Linked DNA regions of Danio rerio. The protein of the gene in region 2 interacts with the protein of the main gene of each other region in a pairwise test. Links are inferred from orthologs where the notes say so. Each region holds a gene or a part of one and is shown on either strand. Other genes may lie near its edges.

Region 1 (3,500 bases), on a different chromosome or scaffold from region 2:
TTTTCACACCTCTACTTTCGAAAAAGTCAGAAAAGTGGGCGTGTCCAGCTCTGTTTAGGGGGGAGTGTCGGAGGAACTAAAGTGGGAGGGTGTGGGAGTGTCTATTTGTGCACGCGCGAGTTTCAGAGTCAAAATACACACACACACACACACACACACACACACACACACACACACACACACACACACAGAGAGACAGGAGAAAGCGATGGTGTTTAACCTACATGGACATCTGTAGTCGAATTATTTGCTGAATTAATAAATGTTGGACTTTAACTGCAGTTTGGCTCTTTCATTCAGGGAATTCATTCATGCCCCTCGCGACAAACGAGGTATTTGATTCGAGGAACTGCTCTAAGCGTGTATTTTTCATGCAATGTTTGATACCGCACGGCAAATGAGAGAAAAAAAAACTCCGCATTTCCCGGAAACTTAGATGCACACGGCAGGTAGCGTCAGAAAGCCGCGTGTGTTATTCCGGTCACTAAATGCGGTGCTAACATTTCTGCACTCAGTGCTATAGTTAACTTAATTCGATACGAGCAAACTGAATAAACAAAGAGCACTGGTCGCTCACTTACCAAATCTGTAGAGACAGGACAATCACCAGCAACTAGAGCCGCGTCTTTATGGAGAGAATACTACAAGCAAATCCAGATTTCAGCGTTTGCAGATGAGAACAGCTCTCAGGTAAACAATAATCCTCCTTAGACACGTAAATTATTGTTGTCGAGCGTTGCGTACACTGTTAATCCACACGTGATCCAGATAAGCTCTCACAGAGAGAAAATGAAAACGAAACTTAACGGCAGCAAACTATAAAAGTAACACTTCACGCTTGTTTTGCCAACACAACGTGGCGTCTTTGTGGTGTAAACACGGTGACACAAATGAATATTAATGAAGTTGCACAATAGAGCGCGCTGATTGGTTTGAACCAAGCCTTACTCATGCATTAATGTATCACACTGTAAGACGTAATAAGACTCACTCAGGCACAGACGCCCAGTCTGCACGCTGGAATACACGCTATTATGTCATGACCGTGACGCAGCTTCAAAAATTCGTTTCAAACAGGAAGTACGCATTTGCTTGAAATAACGCAAAAACAACCAATTTACACTTTTTAGTGAAATATAGGTGTCCTAATAGTGTTTTTAGCAGTGTGGGACACATATACGACTGTCAAAAGCTCAAAAAATGTGTTTTGGTGTTTCGTGACCCTTTAAATACCTTGTGATTATTGCAGGACGCTTCCTGACTTTCCACCTTCTCTCTCAGCAGCTGCAGCTCTTGAGTCAGTCGCTCTACCAGTGGTAAATCAGATGGCTCCACCAACTGCATCTGAAGGTCCTGATAAACAAATGTGTTCAATATATCTCAAAAAAAGAAAGACTATAGGCTATATGCACAAGGACTTTTAAATTTTCAGTAACCCAGTACAAGCAATTCCGGTTTATTTCTGTGTTTAAGGTCTGTTTTCTTTAAAAATCAGTGACCTTCACTGCCTGATTGATATACAATATAAAGAGGGTCTCAAACTGTACAAGAAGCACTGCTTTAAACTACATTGTTTCATGCCATGTCTTTAAAATATGGAAATTTATTTTACCACAGTTATTTTCAATGGTTCCTGCACTTGTCTGGTGCTTCTGACGGCGCTTCTGTTTAAAATTTTGTACTCTTTAACAACTAAATGAATGCTTAAGTCTATTTAAATGAATGGATTTTAATTACATTACAACATTGATGCTGTAAAAGGAACCGTATGTAATTGAAAATAGTCACATTAAACTTTCACAGGAAGTTTATCGGTGGGTGAAAAACACTAGCTGTGCATATACCCCATTGTAAAAGACTAGCACACAAACCTTGATGATTTCCTCTTTGACGCTCGCTGTCCTGCTCAAGGCATCTAGATCTGAGGTTTGGGTTTGGAGCTGGTCTTGGTAGGATGCTAAGGTGGCACGCAGGATGCTGAGCTGGGTCTGGGCTTCTCTTTCTCTGCGCAGAGTCATCTGGAGCTCATCCATAAGTGCTTGTGTGTCTTCTTGGGTCAACTCAGGGTTTGCTGACCCGAGTTGCTTTCGTAGCTCCTGCAATCGAGCTGTCTGTTCGGCCATAACCTGACCTACACGCCCTGCCGAATCCTGCGAGATTGATTGTGATGTAAAAAAAAAAAAGAAATTTAAAGTCCAGAAGGCACATTGGATTAACTTATATATATATTAAAGATAAATTTTATTAAATATAAGGTTGAAGTCAAAATTATTGTCAAATATTTCCCAAATGATGTTTAAAAGAGCAAGGAATTTGTCACGATATATACTATAAGTTAAGCATTTAAATGTCACTTTAAGCTGAGTACTAGTATTTTAAAAAAAAAATTATAAAATATTTATTGTCATCATGGCAAAGATAAAAGAGAGTTATTAAAACTATCACAGTACATTTAGAAATGTGCTGAAAAAATTATTTCCGTTTAACAAAAATCGGGGGAAAGTATATAGGGGGGGCCAATAATTTTGACTTCAAATGTATAAAATATATTTATTTTTAGATGAGTGATAGCATGTCACCTTGATGTAATGCTCTCTTGAGCTGATGGTGTTGAGCAGGTCCTGGACCTGTGAGTGATGCTCTTGAGTCTGTCTGCTGCGGTCTGAAAGAAGCTCCTGGAATAAGCGCTCCTTCAGCTGCAGCCGAGACTTGAGCTCCTCTGCCACCTCACCGGCCCCGACTGACACCTTACTGAGCAAAACTGCAGTCATTTCCTGCAGAGAAGTCAACGAGATAAAAATGAGGCCAACGGAATTTAATGATCCCAGAGAAATCTTGCACAATATTGTGCTGTATTATGTAAAAGTACTTGTATAGTCTGTCTTAGGTTATGTGTATAGTTAAGTATTTATAGTAAAAGCATAGGTAGTAATTGGTATAGTTAGATTACTGCTCCGGTATGTAAACTATGTATAGGTTTTGTATGGGTATTAAATAGTTTTACATTCAGTATTTATGATTTTGTTTTTTTATATAGCACAGTGGTTCTGTCATTTCATTTCACTGTATGTTCAATAAAGCTCAGCTTGACTTGACTTTATTGGAACAATGGAGTTTTTGTTTGTTTGCTTTGTAGTCTTATCTAGATTATTATTTGCTAAACATATAGCAATATTGTGATATATTAGTACAATTAAAGTGCCACATGATCCTTCAGACATATTATATCATACATCATATATATCTAGAAATATTTCTTATTAATATAAAAGGTTGAAAACAGATGTGCTGCTTCAAATATTTGTATTAAGAATGTAACAAAAACTTTTATTTCAAATAAATGCCGTTCTTTTAAACTCCTGAAAACAATTTATTGAAAACAATAAGAATTATTTTTAATCATGGTGCTCCAAAATCATTGTATAAGAATGATTTCTAAAGGATTATGGGACATTTAAAAATAGTGTAATACAACAGCTTAACCTTTACAGGAATAACTT
Region 2 (3,500 bases):
AAAGACAAGTTCCTTACCTTTCACATGCATATTCTTATTCTTTTAACAATCTGACTACCTACCACAAAGTAACACTTACCTTTACTGTGAAGTGCTATGAGTGTGCATATTTGCTCGAAGTTTGGCATTATTTGAACTGAGATATGGTGGTAGGGTGGGACATAATGTAGTTCCTGTCTCTTTAAAAAAAACAGCCAATAGTGTTTTGAGTCCCGAGTTAAACTCAAACTCATATATAGCATATATAGAGTCCTAAAGGGACAGGACATGTCAGACACTAGAGAGTATTTGTTTGGTCTGAAGATTTAATGAGAAACTGAAATATTAATTTACATCAAAAACATTTTGGTTTATCCATTTAGGCAAAATTATTTTAATATGTTTATATTTTCTTAATGTAAATCTTGTCACTGTTTTGGAGCACACTACATTACAGATATTCTTAAGACTAACATACTGATACTGACATCTGCTTTCTTTTGATGTCACTGGGACATTAAAGATTGCTCAACAATGAGATTTATTTTCGCTTGTATGGTTGAGTTTCTGTTTGTGTTCAAACTAAATGTTGTGTGATCCAAACTAAATCCAATGTGAGGCCACTGTAAAAAAATATTGACAAAAAGTCATGACTACAAATGTTTAAATTAAATATAAAAAAAATATTTTAAGTCTGTTTGATTAATGTAAGTTGAGATGGTAATTTTAATCAACTAAAAAAATTAAGGTAGCAAGAATTTTCTAAGGGTCCTTTTATTTCCTGCAGGTTACTGCAGAGATCTCGTCTACAACACTCTCACAGCTACAAGCTAAGAGACGATCTGAAGAAGGAGGTCTCACAGACATTACAGGCTTTGCAGGAGATGCAACAAAATCGAGAGGAGCAAAAACTAAAACTCAGGAAGCTCACGGACACCGTGAACATGCTAGAGCAAAAAAAGCTACATATCTGCAAGCGCTATGAGGCCGAACTGCAAAAGCGGAATCAAGAGTGAGACATAGAGTCTGGGGGATACAAATCTGGCAGGTGAATTCTCACAGTCTGTGCTGATATTTCTATCTGTGTTTTTGTTGTCAGGTCTGTGCAGCTTGCAGAAAGAGAGAAGGAATGGCGTATTTTCAATGAGAAGCTTGGTGTACTGGTGAAAATGACTGAAAACAGCAACTTGGAGATGTATGACATGGAAGATGAAATCAGAAACTTGAAAATGGAACAGAAAGAAGAAGAAAGACAGAATGATCTGCACAAAAAGCAGTTGTCAAACAAACTAGCTCTGGAGGAAGAGCGTGTCTTATTACAGATACAGGTACCTGGATCACAATTTTGAAACCACTGTGAAACATTTATCTGTTAAAAAAATTGCATCAGATGCACACAAATATGTGAATCAAGTGCCAACAATACAATCTCTAACAGAGCAAACAAACACAGTGGAATGCAAGTAAAGGTTAGATTTAATGCCTTCTAAAGTGCCACACATACCCACACACAGAGAAGTGTTGTTTTTACCATTTATAGTCCCTTCTGTAAATGAAATAAACCATCTCAGTGAAAATCCGCCTGATAGGTTTATAGACCTCTGTGTTTAAACAACAGAGTCTCTGCATATCAACATTTACTGCATTAGAACAGATCAAATAAACAGTACTAAGACTTTACAATAAAAAATGCCTCGTCCTTAGATACCAGGCAATGACAAACGGTACTGTAGTTGAAGCACATCTTTTCACATCACGTACATTTGTCAAAAATACAACAAAGTTGATACTCTGACATGAGCATCAGTTAGCATATTATAATCATTTCTAAAAAAAAATAACATTGCCATAAACGAAATAAAAGTCATTACTCTATATTTCTATCAAATGAGAGAGTATGAAAAACATTTAAACATCGTACTGATTTCAAACCATTGAACAGTAGTGTAATAATTAAAAAAAGGACTTTGCAAGAAACATTGGATGTAATAAGTAGAATGTTCAAAATAGAATGAGAAGAATTTAGAGGTACAAAATATTTTTGTGAGTAGATGCAAACATGTGATGATGTCTTGGTTTATATTGGGCATCACAGGATGTCCTGTACCAACACTTGTATAAGACCCTGGACAAGCCAAGAAAATCATCCTACTCTTCATGGAATGTCAGGAAAACTGCCAAGCAGAAACAAAGGATTAAGACTCTGCACCCAAACATCGTCTTCACCATCCCACCTTCTATTACTGTATTTCATTAGGTTTCTCTAGAAGGCTTTCATTCATCTGCTTGTGCAGAACTAAAAGATGACCTTTAACTCCTTGGCTTGTCAATGTGTTGTGGGCTCGTGTGTTGCTCTTTCTGGCTTAAGTCTTACATATTTCCTAATATCTTACAAGGATAAACATCTAGCACTGGATTTTAACCTAAGACATTTTTACATCATGATTTATTTAGCACATAATTAAGACAAGCAACATACAGCAATTCTTGATCGATTTAAGTTGGTTTTATGTTGTTTGTGGAGACAATTCAAATCATTGCTCTCTCAAATGAGCACAACAAAACAAGAATCTCTTCTCATGTTGGCACCAGATGATTTCTCTGTTTTGTGACAAGCACAGTGACACATCTGCCGCCAGCTTGACGCTGTCTAACCAGTCATAAATAAGACAGAAAATACATCTGTTTTGCTGTGTACGGACTGTGCATGTGTAATGAAACAAAGGGTTTTAAATGAGTCCACTGTTTTAATTGTGTCCTGATGGTGTGGCTGTTTTTCTGTGTCATAGTTGTCTGAGATAAATGACAGAGTGTCTGAGCTGGAAGAGGCTTGTGTGGACGATAACAGAGCAAGAAACCTGAATGGAGAAGATCCATCTCCTGAGGAGCTCATTGAGAAGATTGAACAGGTAAAATATTTGTTAATAATTTGGGGTTTAATAACTTGATGGAGAGTTTATTTTCCTTTTCCTAACCACAATTACAAATTTCAATGGAATTACCAGAACTTTAGGAATTAATCACTTTTTATTATTAATTTAAAGATTATTATTTATTTTTTTTTGCAGGACTTGGTTTACAAGTTTTAAATTATTTAATCACATCAAATCATTTTTGGTGTTGTAAAATACATACAAATAATGGAATGTTACAATTATTTACTAATTATCATTTTCAATCATATTTTCTGTCCCTAAACTGGTTTGTGTTACAGTATACAAATATATTGTAAGTCACACTTTACAATAAGGTTTCATTATAATTATAAGTTAATGTATTTACTAACATGAACTAATTATGAGCAATACTTGAACAGCATTAATTAATAATAGTTTAACATTTACTAATGTATTATTAACATTTTAATTCAGGCTGTTAACATTAGTTAATGCTCTGTGAGTTAACATGAACTAACAACGAATAACTGTATTTTTATTAACTAACATGTAGAAATACTGTAATAAATGTATTGTTCATTGTTTGATCATATTAGTAAATACAACCTTATGTTAAAGTGTTGC
Region 3 (3,500 bases), on a different chromosome or scaffold from region 2:
CAGAGATGAGCTAATTATTTTACAAAAATGATCGTTTGGCAGAACTGACTGCATTCCCACAGCTCAGCAGTTCCAGCATTCCTCTGGCATCAAACCCAAGACTGCTGTTGCAGGAGCTTTATTACAAAACAACACTGATGTCTCAATGAGCCACACAGAGACTGCTTTACATGCACTAAAACACCCCTCATTTGAATGTGGATGCACAACCTTACAGATTTAGAAGCAGCTTTAATTTACTAGCAACACTAGTCATCTCTGCCGGACAATCTGAAATATTGTATGCATTTTTATTCTCTAGTCTTCATCTGCACTGTAAGAAGCGCTATAGAAATAATGATGGACGGAACTGAAGGACTCCAGCACAAGTTGTTTCTAGATACCTTTGGGTATCTGGTCAAAATGGTCACATGCGGCCCAAACACTCCCGGTGGAGGTGAGCTGCTCCTGCGAGACACTGGGGGAACACAGGAGAATGTAAACACAGTAAATGAACACAGACAGATTATAAACACACACAGGTTGTTTAAACAGTATATAAACACAGACTGATCATCATATCATCACTATATCCCATCATCATCTGATCATCCTGATACAGCACTGAAGAGCAGACACTGATGAAGCGCTGGCGCACATGCACACTCACTACAGCTGATCACAGCACAGCTTATCTGCAGTTTCTCTCACTGGACACAAGGTTTACCCTACTCACTTTATGCACATTTTCAAAATGTATGCACATCTTGGATTTCCATTAAGTGTTTTTTTCTGAAATAATCCAAAATGTGCATAAAAACAGGTGGATGGAAACACAGCTAGCGAGGGCCTCAGAGGACGAGTTCTACCTTTGTCCAGGTGAGGACAGAATGACATCCAGCAGCTGAACCAGACCCTCCAGAACCTCAGCGGTGGCGTCCCTGACAGACCTCCTCAGTGTGACTCCTGGACACACGTGCGCGCAAACACACACACGAAAACATATATACACACACACACACACACACACAATCATGTACAGACACGTGCATACACAAATATCCACAAACATACACACACACACAATCATAAACAGAAGCACGCACACACAAAGAAACATTTACAAACATGCACCAAAAAAAACACACAAACACACATAAACAAATACACACACATGCAAAATGGCACAGATACACACGGAAATACACACAACCAAACAAACACAAAAACGTGTATATATACACACACACATGCACAAACACAAAAACACAAACATGCATGCACAAACACACAATCATGTACAGACACGTGTATACACAAATATGCACAAAAACACACATACATCATGTACAGGCACGCATACACAGAAACATGCACAAATATGCAGAAAAAAAGACACAAACATACATTACACACATGCAAAAAGACACACACACACACAAACACAGAAAACACAAACAAAAAAACACACACATTTGCACAAAATCACACGTCAGACACACAGAAACAGAAACACACATGCACACGCACACACACACAAACACGCACACACACAGACACACACACACACACACATACACAGTCTAATGAGTTTCTCAATAATCAGGTCAGAGGTCATGAGACGGTTTGTGTAATCCACAAATGAGCAAATGCAGCTGAGCAGCTCCAGAAGAGCTTCATACTGAACACAGACACCACAGAACACTGCACTGCTTTTGATTTTGGACTTCAGTATCCTTGTAAAATTATGATTACGCTCAGTTTTCTTTTACGTTTTTAGAATTACTTAATTACGCACTAAATATTTACGATAGTGTTTTTATTTCATACATTTTTACAGCTTGAGCATGTGTGTGTGTGTGTGTGTGTGTGTGTGTGTGTGTGTGTGTGTGTGTGTGTATGTGTATATCTGTTACCTTGACTCTTTGGCAGCCAGAAGTAAACGGTGCACAAGGTCAACACACTCTTCTGCACACAATCCCCCATTTTTGCACAATCCTAAAGCGAAGAAACACAACAGCAGCAGCAGCATTACTGATGGACAAATGACAGGATAGTTATAGTGATGTTCAGAAGGGGGTTAATCACACCTCGTCTGACGGCAGTGGCGGCTTGGAGAACATCAGGCTGAGTTTAGTCGCTTCTTGAGACACTGCTTTTACAGCTTCATCTGCGGAAAGAGAAGAGCTGGAGTGAGTCATTCAGCGATTCAGAAGAACATGATTCAGATTCAGAATCAAACACTGAACGAACTCAGAATCTCCCAGAAGTTGGCCAAGCTGAAGGTGCCGCTGCTGTCGTTGGACTCTCCATCTGCAAACACAATCAGAAACACTGTGGGCTTCAGCACATCACTGACAACATCTCATTCAAATTACTATTAACTATATCTGTTAAACTAGAGTAAACATCATGACTAGCACTCTGACCAGCTAACTATATCTGTTAAACTAGAGTAAACACCATGACTAACACTCTGACCAGCTAACTATATCTGTTAAACTAGAGTAAACACCATGACTAGTGTTCTCACCAGCTAACTATATCTGTTAAACTAAAGTTAACATCATGACTAGCGCTCTGAGCAGCTAACTATATCTGTTAAACTAGAGTAACACTCTGACCAGCTAACTATATCTGTTAAACTAGAGTAAACACCATGACTAACACTCTGACCAGCTAACTATATCTGTTAAACTAGCGTAACACTCTGACCAGCTAACTATATCTGTTAAACTAGAGTAAACATCATGACTAGCACTCTGACCAGCTAACTATATCTGTTAAACTAGCGTAACACTCTGACCAGCTAACTATATCTGTTCAACTAGAGTAAACATCATGACTAGCACTCTGACCAGCTAACTATATCTGTTAAACTAGCGTAACACTCTGACCAGCTAACTATATCTGTTCAACTAGAGTAAACATCATGACTAGCGCTCTGAGCAGCTAACTATCACCGGTTAAAGTGTTTTCGTGAGTGTTTTGGAAGTTTAGCCGTTAGCATTCCCACAAACACTGCTCAAATACACAATGAAACACGGAATACAGGACCACCATACCTCTCACTCGATCCCTGCTGCACTTCACCGAGTTCCAGAGGTTTCTCAGCGGAAGCAGCGCTTCTGAACGCGAGTTTTCGCCGCTCATGACGCGCTTTGCTTCAGTTTCGTGGAGCCGCGGAACGAAAGTCAAGCGGAACTAATATTGTCTGAGTGTGACCGGAATGAATCCGTCGCTGCACAGTCAGCTTGGTTGATACTTTTTGAATGTTTGTTTGTAATTATATACATTTTGAAGTGTTAAACCAATATAATTGTTTACTTCTGTATTACTGGTGTAGTTTGGTCAATTGGTGAAGTTTGTTCCTCCGCTGTCGCCACTGGCTTGTCTGGTTCGGGACCTGTGGAGCTGTGGATGGATTTGCTCTTCAGTGTTTGTTTGGACTCTCAGCAGTGTAGATTTAACCACACTGAACTGAACTAAGCAGAACTTCAACTCTGAACACTGGACTGAAA
Region 4 (3,500 bases), on a different chromosome or scaffold from region 2:
TCAAAACATTATTTTCACCATAACGCAATTTAATCGGGCACTGAAGGCTAATAACTTAATTCTTATATCTGCTTTTTGACTTCTCACCATGTATCTTTTCTACAGCATAGGATAGTGTAAGAGCATGTCTATTACCAGAAAAACTAAATTAAAATTATATTTTAATTGAACACATCACATCACATACAGTAAGCTACGCCTACAGAACAGTCTGTTTAGCATTGTGAAAAGGCAAAGCTGAATATCTGTGGTTAAAGTGCCACCCAGCGGTCAAATGCTGCTGGCGCATCAAGTACCGCCGTCGCCGCGGCATGAATGGCGGCACAAGGAACACATTGAAGTAGTAACATCTGTACATCTTGCACCTTATTGCATCGGGTGTATGATAGGGCTCATTGACTTCCATAGTATTTTTGCTTCTACATGTCAATGGTTGCTTTCCCCCAAAAATTTTTAATAAAATAAAAAAAAATCATAAATGTTTTATAACCACTTGAGTGTGAGTAAATGGTGAGGGAAAATTTGAAATATTCTTTAACCATCTGTATTCCTTGTCCTTGTTTTCCCTGTTATGACCTAGATCTTACCCCAGTAAGACCAGCCCACGCGTCCCAGATCGACGCTATGAGGCACCGGTGCCAGATTATCCTCCCAACAACAGAGTCAGTGCAAAGGAGAGCATGAGGAACATCAACACAGGTGCAGGTGAGGGGATTACATGTCTCCAAACACCTCCTTTTGAAAACAAAACACACTATTAGTTGTTTACAAAAGGCATAATTTAGGTTTATTTTCTTACTTGGATTTTTAGTCTTGTTTCTAGTCTAAAAATTCAAAAATTCTTAAATTAAGAAACATTTTCTAGACAAGCAAAAGTTATTATCTTGTTTTAAGAAATATTATGTCAACATTAAGTGAGTTTTTTCCTAAAACACATAAAATAATCTGCCAGTGGAGCAAGCAAAATAAACTTATGTCAAAAGAAAAAACAAGATCATTTTGCTTGTTTTTAATTCTAGAAAATGCTTCTTGACTGAAAGGCATTTTTGCAGTGCAGTTCCAAAAATAATGCATACGGTGTGAGTTTTTAAGCATCACATAATACACACCAGACTTTAATGGCTTATATAGGAGGTGAAAAACACGGTAATTTCATTCAAAGGCCTGAAAGGAGCAAAAAAAATGCTGATATTTATATGGTAAGCTTAAAAAGAAAGCTGGACTTATGATAGCTTGTAATGTAAATCAATAAGATCCTTTTAACATTATAGAAGACTACTTAGATAAAATGCATCTAAATATCAGTTGTCGCTCAATGTCTACCAAATAATACATCTTAGTAAGATGATACAGTATTTAAATGCTTAGCTTTACCATCAAAGCTCTGTATTATTTATTGTGGAGACACATGTAATGTAATGCAAAATGGGTATAAGTTACCTTTTACAGTATATCTGGAAAACAAAATAAAATATATGTTACCTAAATGAATGGGATGAAAAACAGTATGTGTATGACTTGGGACAGCAAAGCTTTGACAATTGTGAAGCCTTAAATACATGCAGATATGTAACAGTAGGTATTATATGGTTAAAGGTACAATAATGTATTTAACATATTCACAAGTCTAACACTTAATTTTAAGTTTAATATAAAGTTGAAGTTATTAGAAATTATTAGCCTTTTGAGTTTTTAAATTTGTTTTTTAATATTTCCCAAATTATGTTTATCAGATGAAGGAAATTTTCACAGTATGTCTAATAATATTTTTTCTTCTGGTGAAAGTCTTATTTGTTTTATTTTGGCTAGAATAAAAGCAAGTTATTAATTTTTTAAACAACATTTTAAGGACAAAATTATTAGCCCCTTTAAGCTATTTTTTTTTGATAGTCTACAGAACAAACCATCATTATACAATAATTTGTCTAATTACCTTAATCTGCCTTCTTAACCTAATTAACATAGTTTAGGCTTTAAATGTCACTTGAAGCTGTATAGAAGTGTCTTGAAAAATATCTAGTGACATATTATTTACTGTCATCATGGCAAAGATAAAATAAGTGAGTTATTAAAACTATTATGTTTAGAAATATGTTGAAAAAAATCTCTCCGTTAAACAGAGATTGGGGAAAAAATAAACATGGGGGCTAATAATTCAGGGGGGCTAATAATTCTGACTTCAATTGTGTATAAAGCATTATATATTAGGAAAACTAAAGCAACACATCTCTTTACATGATCTTCCATTAATATAAAAACTATTTACTAAAGTAATTGGGCTATTAGAAAAAAAATCTTTAGTGTTTAGTTCTCTGTAAGTCTAAAACATCATATATAATGGTCTTAAAAGGGTTTAAAAGTCTTAAATTTGACTTAATTAACCTACAGAAACCTTGTGTCAGGCAAGATTGCTAATCACTGAACCATCATGCTGCATTTACCTAAGTTATTTTACTATCAATCAAAAGTTATTGAATACACTGAAAATCTCAGAAAAAAATCTTTTAGAGAAAGTCATTGTTCTGCTGTCAGTGTCTGTTGTGAAAAAGCACATGGATTAGTATGTTTTAGTAAAATTGGCACATGGATTAGGCCTGATTTTAGCCACACTTACAATTTTTTCTTGCAGTCTTGTACTCGAGCTTTACTCAAGGACTTGTTTAATGCTGTTTTTGGAGTGTTTGCTTTATTGCTTCTATTCATCATGAGCTGTGTTTTTCCAAACATTACATTAATCAATTCAGCAAGGTTCTTGTTTGTGGTCCAGGCTTGCTAGCCAACTGCATTATCACACAAAACATCTGCATTTATCATTCCTCACACCATCTAATTGCTGAAGGCACAGTTAAAGTTTGTCAAAGATGTGGTTCGCCGGCTCTCCCGTGGGCTTTCTCTATCAACACACTCCACATTTCCATTACTGATGAGATTTGTGCCTGAGCTGCAGTGTGTTGGTTATGAAACCACTCTGAAGAGACAGTAAAACAACGCAAAGCCATTCGTGTGCCAAGTCAGCACAAACCACAAGCTCACGACAGTCTCATATGGATGATGCAACTGAAGAAATGTGTGAGTTTTTAATGAGGAGATGGTGGAAAAAAGGTCTCCCTCAAAGCTTTCCAGTGTTTCAGTCAGTAACTGGGCGCCCAGAGATATGGGAGCAAATTAATTCTAGTGCTTTTCTTTTTCTTCTGTTTCACAGAGAAAGGGAGTATATGATTATATTTGAAATGTCCATCTCACTTTCCACTTCCTCTAAGTTCTAATAGAATAGTCAGCCACTCAGTTTTTTTTTTTTTTTTTTATCAGATCAGCCAGGCAATTCAGGCATTTTTGCAGATTCAAACACTTGGATTTATTTGGAGTTGTAGCTGTCTGATGTCAGGCTTGCTTTACCTGGTATTAAAGGGATTATTCACCCAAAAATGAAAAGTCTGTCTTCATTTAGTCTCCCTTGGCTTGTCCCAAACCAATTCAAGATTTTTGTTCTGTTAAACAAA
Region 5 (4,063 bases), on a different chromosome or scaffold from region 2:
AATAAACAACTAGTTTTTATAGAGATTGTGTCATGTCTTTTCTTTGACGCACGCGCTGAACAGCCTGTAGCCTAAATAATAGTTTAGATTTTATAACATATAATGTTTTATTACTTTAAATGTATAATGTTTTTTAATATTTATGGAATATATAAAATATATAGTTTATATAAATGCGCTCTGATCATTCAAGGATCATAATGCGTTGCATATTCTTCTTATTCTTCATTAGGCTTGATCCGTAAATTGTGTATTTTATAAACTGATCGTTTATAAGGATTAAGCTATTAATAACTGTAATTCCTCGAATGGAAAAGTCTTGATTAAAGAAAAAGAGAACTTAATTCGACATATGCATATAGTGCGCTTATTTCTGCGCGCATCGCGCGCTTTACCGAATTACCTTTTTTATTTTTATGCACTATAAATGCATCTGGCAGCACCGAAAAGAGCAAATGCCAAGTTATTAGCGCAGCGCACAGACAGCTAGCTCGTCTAGTCTGAACCAGGGGTTTTCAAACTATTCATTGCACACCGATCCCATTGCATTTTATTTAGGATAAACCACTTATTTAAAATTAATTAATTAAAAGGTGCGTACTCTCCAATACACCACTGTAGTGTCATAATATTTAATAATTATAATTAAGATAGACACCTGACCTCCATTTAATAAACAATTTATTTGCCATACTCTGTTAATTTGAAGTTTAAAGTTTAAATCATTTATGTTAAACTTAAATTATTTAAAAACTTAAAAAGACTTACATTTAGTCATTTAAGACATTTTAGGTCATAAGTTTACATACATTGACCGTTGCATTTAGTAGGCCTATTCTGGTCTAAATAAGCTTTTTGCATCTTAGGTGTTTACACACACAAATTAAGCAGTTTATACGTACATTTAATGTTACTTTGAAATTACTTTTGATGCAATAAATAATCCTAAATAGTTGAAAGTGTTAACATATTCTTGAAATGTAGTTATTTTATAACTATGAAATTTATTACTAAACAAAGTGAATCATTATGAATTTGCCAAGAAATAATCCACTTTACCACCGTAAAGCAATGCCCCACACTCACTAGAACGGTAGAACCTGGACTGTATGATATGTTCTGTATGTAAAATAGAGAAAATAAGCAAGATGCGCAGTCTCATGTAGCCTTAGTGAAATATAGCGCGTCACAGCAATGAACTAAAAATAAAACCACCCTTGAAATGCTGGCGATCTTAATTTTTTCAGCCTACACTGACTGAGAATAATGTTGCACTATTTAATTAACAAATAATTAGAATGTTTTTTTTTTCCTTCAACACATTCATCATTACTTTTGCCTGTGCAAGTTTTTTTGCGCGTGCTTGAGTGCGAAGGCATCTATTTTCAGGTGCAAGATGCCACTTTGGGTGGCACCAGCACACTCTGCCACACCTGTGGCTATGTCCCTGCTACAATAATAATAACAACAACAACGACAAAATAATAACAAAAAATAATAATAATAAGACAGGCCTACTTTGACGTTGCAATAAAAAAGTATTAATTATCAAATAAATATTTACAATAGGCTAAAGGCACATATTAAATTAAAATAGGAGAAAATCCAATAGAAACAGGTACCATTTATTATAGCCCCATGCAGGGTCCATTGTGTTCTTACAACCATTAAATAACTAAGTAAATAATAATAATAACAATACTGCTAATAATAGGCCTAATAATAATAATAATAATAATAATAATAATAATAATAATAATAATAAATTATTATTTTATACAGAGTAGGCTATTATTTAGGCCTACAATAGCTCTGAAACAATCATGTAAACCAGGTGCTGCTCGGAAATGGCTATCTTTGCTCTGCATCAGGTGCACAGCAGCAAGAAGCTTGGCAGTGAACTATGACCTTATTTTAATGACAAATGTCTAAGAATACTGCTGATTTACGTTTTTATTTAATTTATACATACGCAATGAATGTAAGCCTGCTAAATGTGTGTGGTTCAAATGATAGAATCTGTAAACTTAGTTAATATATATATAATTAAATAATAATAATTAAAAGCCTGCGTGTAAGGCTTTTATTTTGAGGGTGACGTCACGAGCGCAGATTTGGTTGACCAATTAGAGGAAAGTGGGCGTTTCAGCACCGCCTACATGTGTAAAATGAATTTTAAAGTCGTTTATCCGTTTTCCTACCCTAAACCAAAAAACGAAAATCCAGCCAAAATCTTGTTTTTTCGTTTTCTCGTGAGCAAAAGAAAAACGGAAAAACGGCAGTTTTCTCCATTTCCTTTATTCCGTTTGAAACTGGAAAAAAAATGAACAAAATGTACACGGACCATTTTTTGACTCATTATTTCGTTTTGGTTTTGTGTTTGTTTTAATATTTCGTTTTAAGTTAATAAGCAGAATAACAGATGAGTTTCCGTTTTTTCTGCCTACAGAATAAACAGAAAAACGAAATATTCATCGTTTTTCTGATGTTTCGTTTTCCGTAATAAAAGGAATAATCAAATGAACGGATGATACACGGACCCTGTTCTCGGATGACAAAAACTGATTAGTAACTTAGAGTGCGTGAAGCAAACGTTTCCCAGAAAAATCATGTTAGCTTAGCAATGCCACTCTGTTGTAAACAAAGACACATACCTTCCCTTAAATCAGGTATTGTCAATATTCCGTCATGGTCAACTCTGAAATAAACTATTGTGTTTAAAAATAACAGTGTGTAGACAGAATTACCTGAAAATGTGGTTTCTTGTTATAGACTTCAGCTTATCCGACAGTGACTTCCTGTTGGGACCGGAAGCAGAGCAGTGACATCAGAGTGACGCAGAGGTCAGAAACCCTCTCTCACAGCCATCTTGGATCCTGTGCCCTGAACTAGTGAGTACTCCTGCGTAAAATCTATTGTCATCCAACGTTGCTTTAGCCAATTCAATACATAATTTGTAGCTTATGCTGATGCTTTAGTGTAGCTGTGTTTGGAATGGTAAAGATTTGTAAATTTGCTTGGCTTATTGAGGAAATATGTTGATGATTACAACTGGCTGACTGTTCAAAATGGGGGAGCGAGACGCACCACCGCTCGCTATACTTCAGCCGTGGGCTTTGTGTCTAACGAAAATGTTAACCCTGCAAAAAGTTGCACTATATACAACTATAGCGATATATTGTGAGAAATCTGTAATTTAATCGTACGAAAGGTTGTTGCGTGACGTGCGACAATAAACACTGGCTGGATAGTTAACTTCGCTGCCTAAACATGTAACGTTTCTAAAAACGCATGCTGTGTCAACAGTATAACCTAACGTTACATTATAAAGGATTATAAACTCATTTCTTTAAAAAAGTTTTATTGTAATTTGTGTAATGAGGTTCTTTCATTCAGCAGTAACGTGTCAGAGCTCCTCTGTTAAGATACACACGTGAAATGTGCAACACAGTGCACGCGCACACATGAACAGTGTGTGGAACTGTTTGGGGACGTTATAAGCCTTATTTGTTCAGTTTGCCTGTTTGCAATTGATAAAGCTCACAAATTCTGTTCGGTGGCCTTGTGAAATGTTATCATGTAGCTCAATACTTTGAGACAACAGCAGTGTTTAACTGAGCCGGTAGTGGGACAGCTGACAGCCAGCAGAGGCCTACAGGAAGAGGCCTAGAGTGCTGCTGTTTCAATAGAAAAAGCCTCATTAACACAAAGCACTGACTAACGCATGTCTAAACCTTCATGCAGACTTTGTAAAGCTTATAATGTATTGTTTCTCATTTCTGTTTTAGTCCAGAATGCCAGGCGAAGCCACAGAAACTGTCCCTGTTACAGAGCAGGAGATGCAGCAGCCCCAGGCTGAGACGGGTTAGTACTGCTTTTAAAAGTGCATGTCTGATACTAAACACTGGTTGTCTAGGTGGTCCTGGAAATATTGTTTATTGTACTGGTTATTATCAAAATGTTGCTTATTCTATTCAGGGTGTTTTTGCACCTGTTTTAGCCTTTCTTCAGGTTTCTTTTAGGGTCTTCTCGCAGCTGTTGTAGAGATTTCGCATAACAAGTT
Region 6 (3,500 bases), on a different chromosome or scaffold from region 2:
TATATTGTCAGAAAAGTAACTATTCATACTCATTCACTGATATGTAAATGTAGATTTTTTTTTTTTTTTAAAGGAGATGTGCCTTCAAACTCCACTCCTGTCCCTACCCCTCATTGGTGGATGAGCAAATCAAACTGAAATGTATGAATGAGATTGAAATGAATATTTTATTAATTTCTCAGTGGATATAGGCAATGTATTTCGGTGCATGAAAAACAGATATAATTATTAAAATAATATTTTAGTCACCACACATATTTAGAAATCGAAAGATAATACAATAAAAAATCAAGCAAAATATACAAAAATAAATAAATAAATAAAAATACAACCTACAAAGTTTCAACAATTTTTTTTACTTATTTATTTAATCATTTTGCTTCTCTTGTTTTTTTCCTTTTTAAAAATTTTGTATTTAATATTTTTCTATAATAAAAATTTGGGTGTACTAGTTTTTGGATCGTTATCATATATGTTATTTTGTCAGACAAGCTCCAGATTTGGCTTCAGTACTGACTAATCTAATGTATATGCACAAATATAATATTATATAGCTTCCTATTAAAAACATGAATTTAAAAGATTTCTGTATGGTCAAAGTAACTTTAAAAAATTACTGTAATTTGTTTCAGCTAAATGTATTTATTGAGGGCACATAAGCAGTACCTGAAGATATCTTTGTCAGAGTAACTAATAGACTAACGTTACTGTTGTTAAAGCCTCGACCTGGCAGTATTACAAACATGTTTTAAAAAAGATATGTTGCCATCGCGAATGCTTTCTCATTCATTCATTCATTCATTTACATCTCGGCTTAGTCCCTTTATTATTAATTTGGGGTCACCACAGCGGAATGAACCACCAACTTACCCAGCATATGTTTTACACAGCGGATGCCCTTCCAGCAGCAACCCATCACTGGGAAACACCCATACACTCCCATTCACACACATAGTACACTACAAACAATTTAGCCTACCCAATTCACCTATAGAGCATGTCTTTGGACTTGAGGGGGACATACAAACTCCACACAGAAATGCCAACTGATCCAGCCGGGGCTTGAACCAGCGACCTTCTTGCTGTGAGGTGATCGTGCAACCCACTGTGCCACCATAACGCCCTGATGCTTTCTTATATAATATGGGAATGCTTCTCTTGTCTAAATAAAATTTACTTTGGCCACAGACTTTCTTCACATTTGAATCAAGTAATGGCAGATGGCAAAACATGACCTGGCGAGTTAAGTAAACATGAATTAGATTGTTATATAGAGTGTATTTAGAGTTACTATAATAAATAAGGTAACTTTTTTGCTTTAAAATCAGAATCCATAATTTTTCACTTAATCAAATATAAAAACGTACTTCAAATGAAAGACAAGGTAGATTCAGCACTTTTTTCAGTGCATTAAATGTTTAATGTCTGTGAAATGCTATTCCATCAAGTTGTTTGCTTTTAATGGCACCCCTTTTTTTGTCTTTCATTGCTCCAGGCCTCCAACCCTCTTTGGCAAAACCGGGCCTCAACCACTGTGTCCACAGGGGGGCGTTTCCGCTGCCCATCATGTCGCCATGAGGTGGTTTTGGATCGGCATGGTGTCTACGGCCTTCAGAGAAATCTGCTAGTGGAGAATATCATAGATATCTACAAATCAGAATCCACCAGGTCAGTCTTGTGTTGGGCTAGCCTGTGAACCAGTTCCAAGTTCCACCAAGGATAAACATTTCTCTTCTCGAAGCACTTACATTAATTAAGTCTATTTGCTGTTCATACTTCAAAGCCGTGTTCTGTATAGAGATCCAGCAACGCCCCAAGCTGTTGTGACACAACACTCTTGTGACACAACACTACAGTACCTGACACTTCTTCTGTTTCATCAATGAAGCTGAAACCCGGTGTAGTGACACATATATGTGATTTACTCTTATGTGGGAGATTTTCTGCCACGTCAAGTAAACACAAACAAAGACATGGGACCTGAGGCTCTGGTGACTGTAGCAATCGTTTGCCAAACCAGACTAAATATAACTAGGACGCTTTATCCCTGTGGCAATAAACAATGTGTCATGAGACCTCCTGTGAAAAATATGCGTAATTGGGTATAATAAGACTGATAGACTTTGAAGCCTTTTGTAACAAACGCTTTGTTTATTATGAATACATAATGTACATGGTCTTAGTGTCTTTGGTAAAAAGCCGGTACCTAAAAGAGGTTGTTTCAAAGGCACATTCTGATTGATGATGGGACATTTTCTCCATGCTTTTAAACCATTTTCCGCCATTTAATATGCTTCGTATGTATATAAAAGCACTTCTGAAATTTTAATTTGATGTGGACACTTAATAATTTTATTTAAATGATTATAACTAACTTATTTTATATCAAATATTAAGCAATTTTAGAATTAAAGTGTTTAGTTTAAAGAATTTTAAATGTAAAACGACAAAATTGCTCTTACTGTAAAACCTTTTATTAGACTGACCCACTTTTACTTTTAACTTACTATAAAAGGAAATTCAGCAAAGTTTTATCAGGAAAAGTGTTACAATTGTTATCATGTATTCAGTTTTAAAATCGTATCTAATTTATCTTGTGTTTATTTGTTTCTGGTCTTGTATTTACTTTTAATGAAATGTTTTCTCATGACTTTAGCCTTTGTTGGTGACATAACATTTCATTATTATTATTATTATTAATCCCATGCTCATCATCTGATGGTCAACTATTACTGTTGTCAATGAGACAGTAGCCTGGTTCCCTAAATTTAGTATGTTTGGTTATTAGTTGTACTAGTATCATGTGTTGTTGGATGAAATCCTAATGTCTGTGTGTTTCTATGTTCTGCTAAAAGCCAACATTCTTGTTAAGTTAGGCCCAGTAACCTTTCAATATTTTCCTGTTTAAAAATAGAAATAAAGAAATAACACAATATAGATAATATAGACATTTTTTATGGAACATTTACTTCCAGTTGTAGTTTGCCTTGTGTAATGCTGTATTGTCACTCAGAATTCCTGACACTGTGGAAGTAAATGCATTTTTTTTTACTATTTCCATTATTTCAAGAACTTATTCTAGAGCTGTCAAGAACTTGTCTATTACATAATCATAAAATTTATCCTTTAGCTTGATCATTTATGATTTGATAGCAATAGTTACACTATAAAACATTCTTGCTGCTTTATTTTATTTTAATTTAAACAAACTATTTTAGTCATCTCAATTTGCATAAGTCAAACTGACTAAAAATATAGTATTAAGGATTTAAGATTTATTTCGCTACGTAGGGAGCGGGGGTTTTATTTGTTGCATCGTTCCCTCATAGCAAACTAAGGCAAAGTATAGAACACAAAAAAGGTACTTGACTAAGTAAGAGATGCTATTAACAAAATGATAAACACAGTTGCTATAAAAGCCCTCAGATTCACGTCAACAAAAGGACCGTCACTCCAAAAACTGAAACACATGATCAGACTTTCATTAAAGATTACCAAAA

Evidence for each region.
Region 1: the proteins of ccdc146 (region 2) and pde4dip interact in binary tests that used the Homo sapiens proteins (3 or more experiments, as listed by UniProt). The two-hybrid records come from large-scale screens. The link is inferred for Danio rerio from reciprocal best matches to the Homo sapiens genes CCDC146 and PDE4DIP.
Region 3: the proteins of ccdc146 (region 2) and ccndbp1 interact in binary tests that used the Homo sapiens proteins (3 or more experiments, as listed by UniProt). The two-hybrid records come from large-scale screens. The link is inferred for Danio rerio from reciprocal best matches to the Homo sapiens genes CCDC146 and CCNDBP1.
Region 4: the proteins of ccdc146 (region 2) and necab2 interact in binary tests that used the Homo sapiens proteins (3 or more experiments, as listed by UniProt). The two-hybrid records come from large-scale screens. The link is inferred for Danio rerio from reciprocal best matches to the Homo sapiens genes CCDC146 and NECAB2.
Region 5: the proteins of ccdc146 (region 2) and tfip11 interact in binary tests that used the Homo sapiens proteins (3 or more experiments, as listed by UniProt). The two-hybrid records come from large-scale screens. The link is inferred for Danio rerio from reciprocal best matches to the Homo sapiens genes CCDC146 and TFIP11.
Region 6: the proteins of ccdc146 (region 2) and trim54 interact in binary tests that used the Homo sapiens proteins (3 or more experiments, as listed by UniProt). The two-hybrid records come from large-scale screens. The link is inferred for Danio rerio from reciprocal best matches to the Homo sapiens genes CCDC146 and TRIM54.

Annotation. Positions count from the first base shown.
Region 1 is NC_133195.1:37,876,440-37,879,939, reverse strand, and holds part of pde4dip (myomegalin), read right to left. Parts: intron 2,775-3,500; coding exon 2,580-2,774; intron 2,151-2,579; coding exon 1,872-2,150; intron 1,354-1,871; coding exon 1,234-1,353; intron 1-1,233. UniProt on the Homo sapiens protein: Functions as an anchor sequestering components of the cAMP-dependent pathway to Golgi and/or centrosomes.
Region 2 is NC_133179.1:20,785,975-20,789,474, forward strand, and holds part of ccdc146 (coiled-coil domain-containing protein 146), read left to right. Parts: coding exon of another isoform or gene 1-8; intron 9-766; coding exon 767-991; intron 992-1,078; coding exon 1,079-1,307; intron 1,308-2,768; coding exon 2,769-2,888; intron 2,889-3,500. UniProt on the Homo sapiens protein: Essential for sperm flagellum biogenesis and male fertility.
Region 3 is NC_133181.1:63,059,632-63,063,131, reverse strand, and holds part of ccndbp1 (cyclin-D1-binding protein 1 homolog), read right to left. Parts: intron 3,199-3,500; exon of another isoform or gene 3,133-3,198; coding exon of another isoform or gene 3,045-3,132; intron 2,293-3,044; coding exon 2,233-2,292; intron 2,150-2,232; coding exon 2,070-2,149; intron 1,978-2,069; coding exon 1,896-1,977; intron 946-1,895; coding exon 849-945; intron 458-848; coding exon 384-457; intron 1-383. UniProt on the Homo sapiens protein: May negatively regulate cell cycle progression. May act at least in part via inhibition of the cyclin-D1/CDK4 complex, thereby preventing phosphorylation of RB1 and blocking E2F-dependent transcription.
Region 4 is NC_133193.1:22,958,790-22,962,289, forward strand, and holds part of necab2 (N-terminal EF-hand calcium-binding protein 2), read left to right. Parts: intron 1-580; coding exon 581-705; intron 706-3,500. UniProt on the Homo sapiens protein: May act as a signaling scaffold protein that senses intracellular calcium.
Region 5 is NC_133198.1:20,764,276-20,768,338, forward strand, and holds the start of tfip11 (tuftelin-interacting protein 11), read right to left. Parts: upstream 2,801-4,063; 5' UTR 2,748-2,800; exon of another isoform or gene 2,655-2,747; intron 1-2,654. UniProt on the Homo sapiens protein: Involved in pre-mRNA splicing, specifically in spliceosome disassembly during late-stage splicing events. Intron turnover seems to proceed through reactions in two lariat-intron associated complexes termed Intron Large (IL) and Intron Small (IS).
Region 6 is NC_133195.1:42,032,489-42,035,988, reverse strand, and holds part of trim54 (tripartite motif-containing protein 54), read left to right. Parts: intron 1-1,495; coding exon 1,496-1,668; intron 1,669-3,500. UniProt on the Homo sapiens protein: May bind and stabilize microtubules during myotubes formation.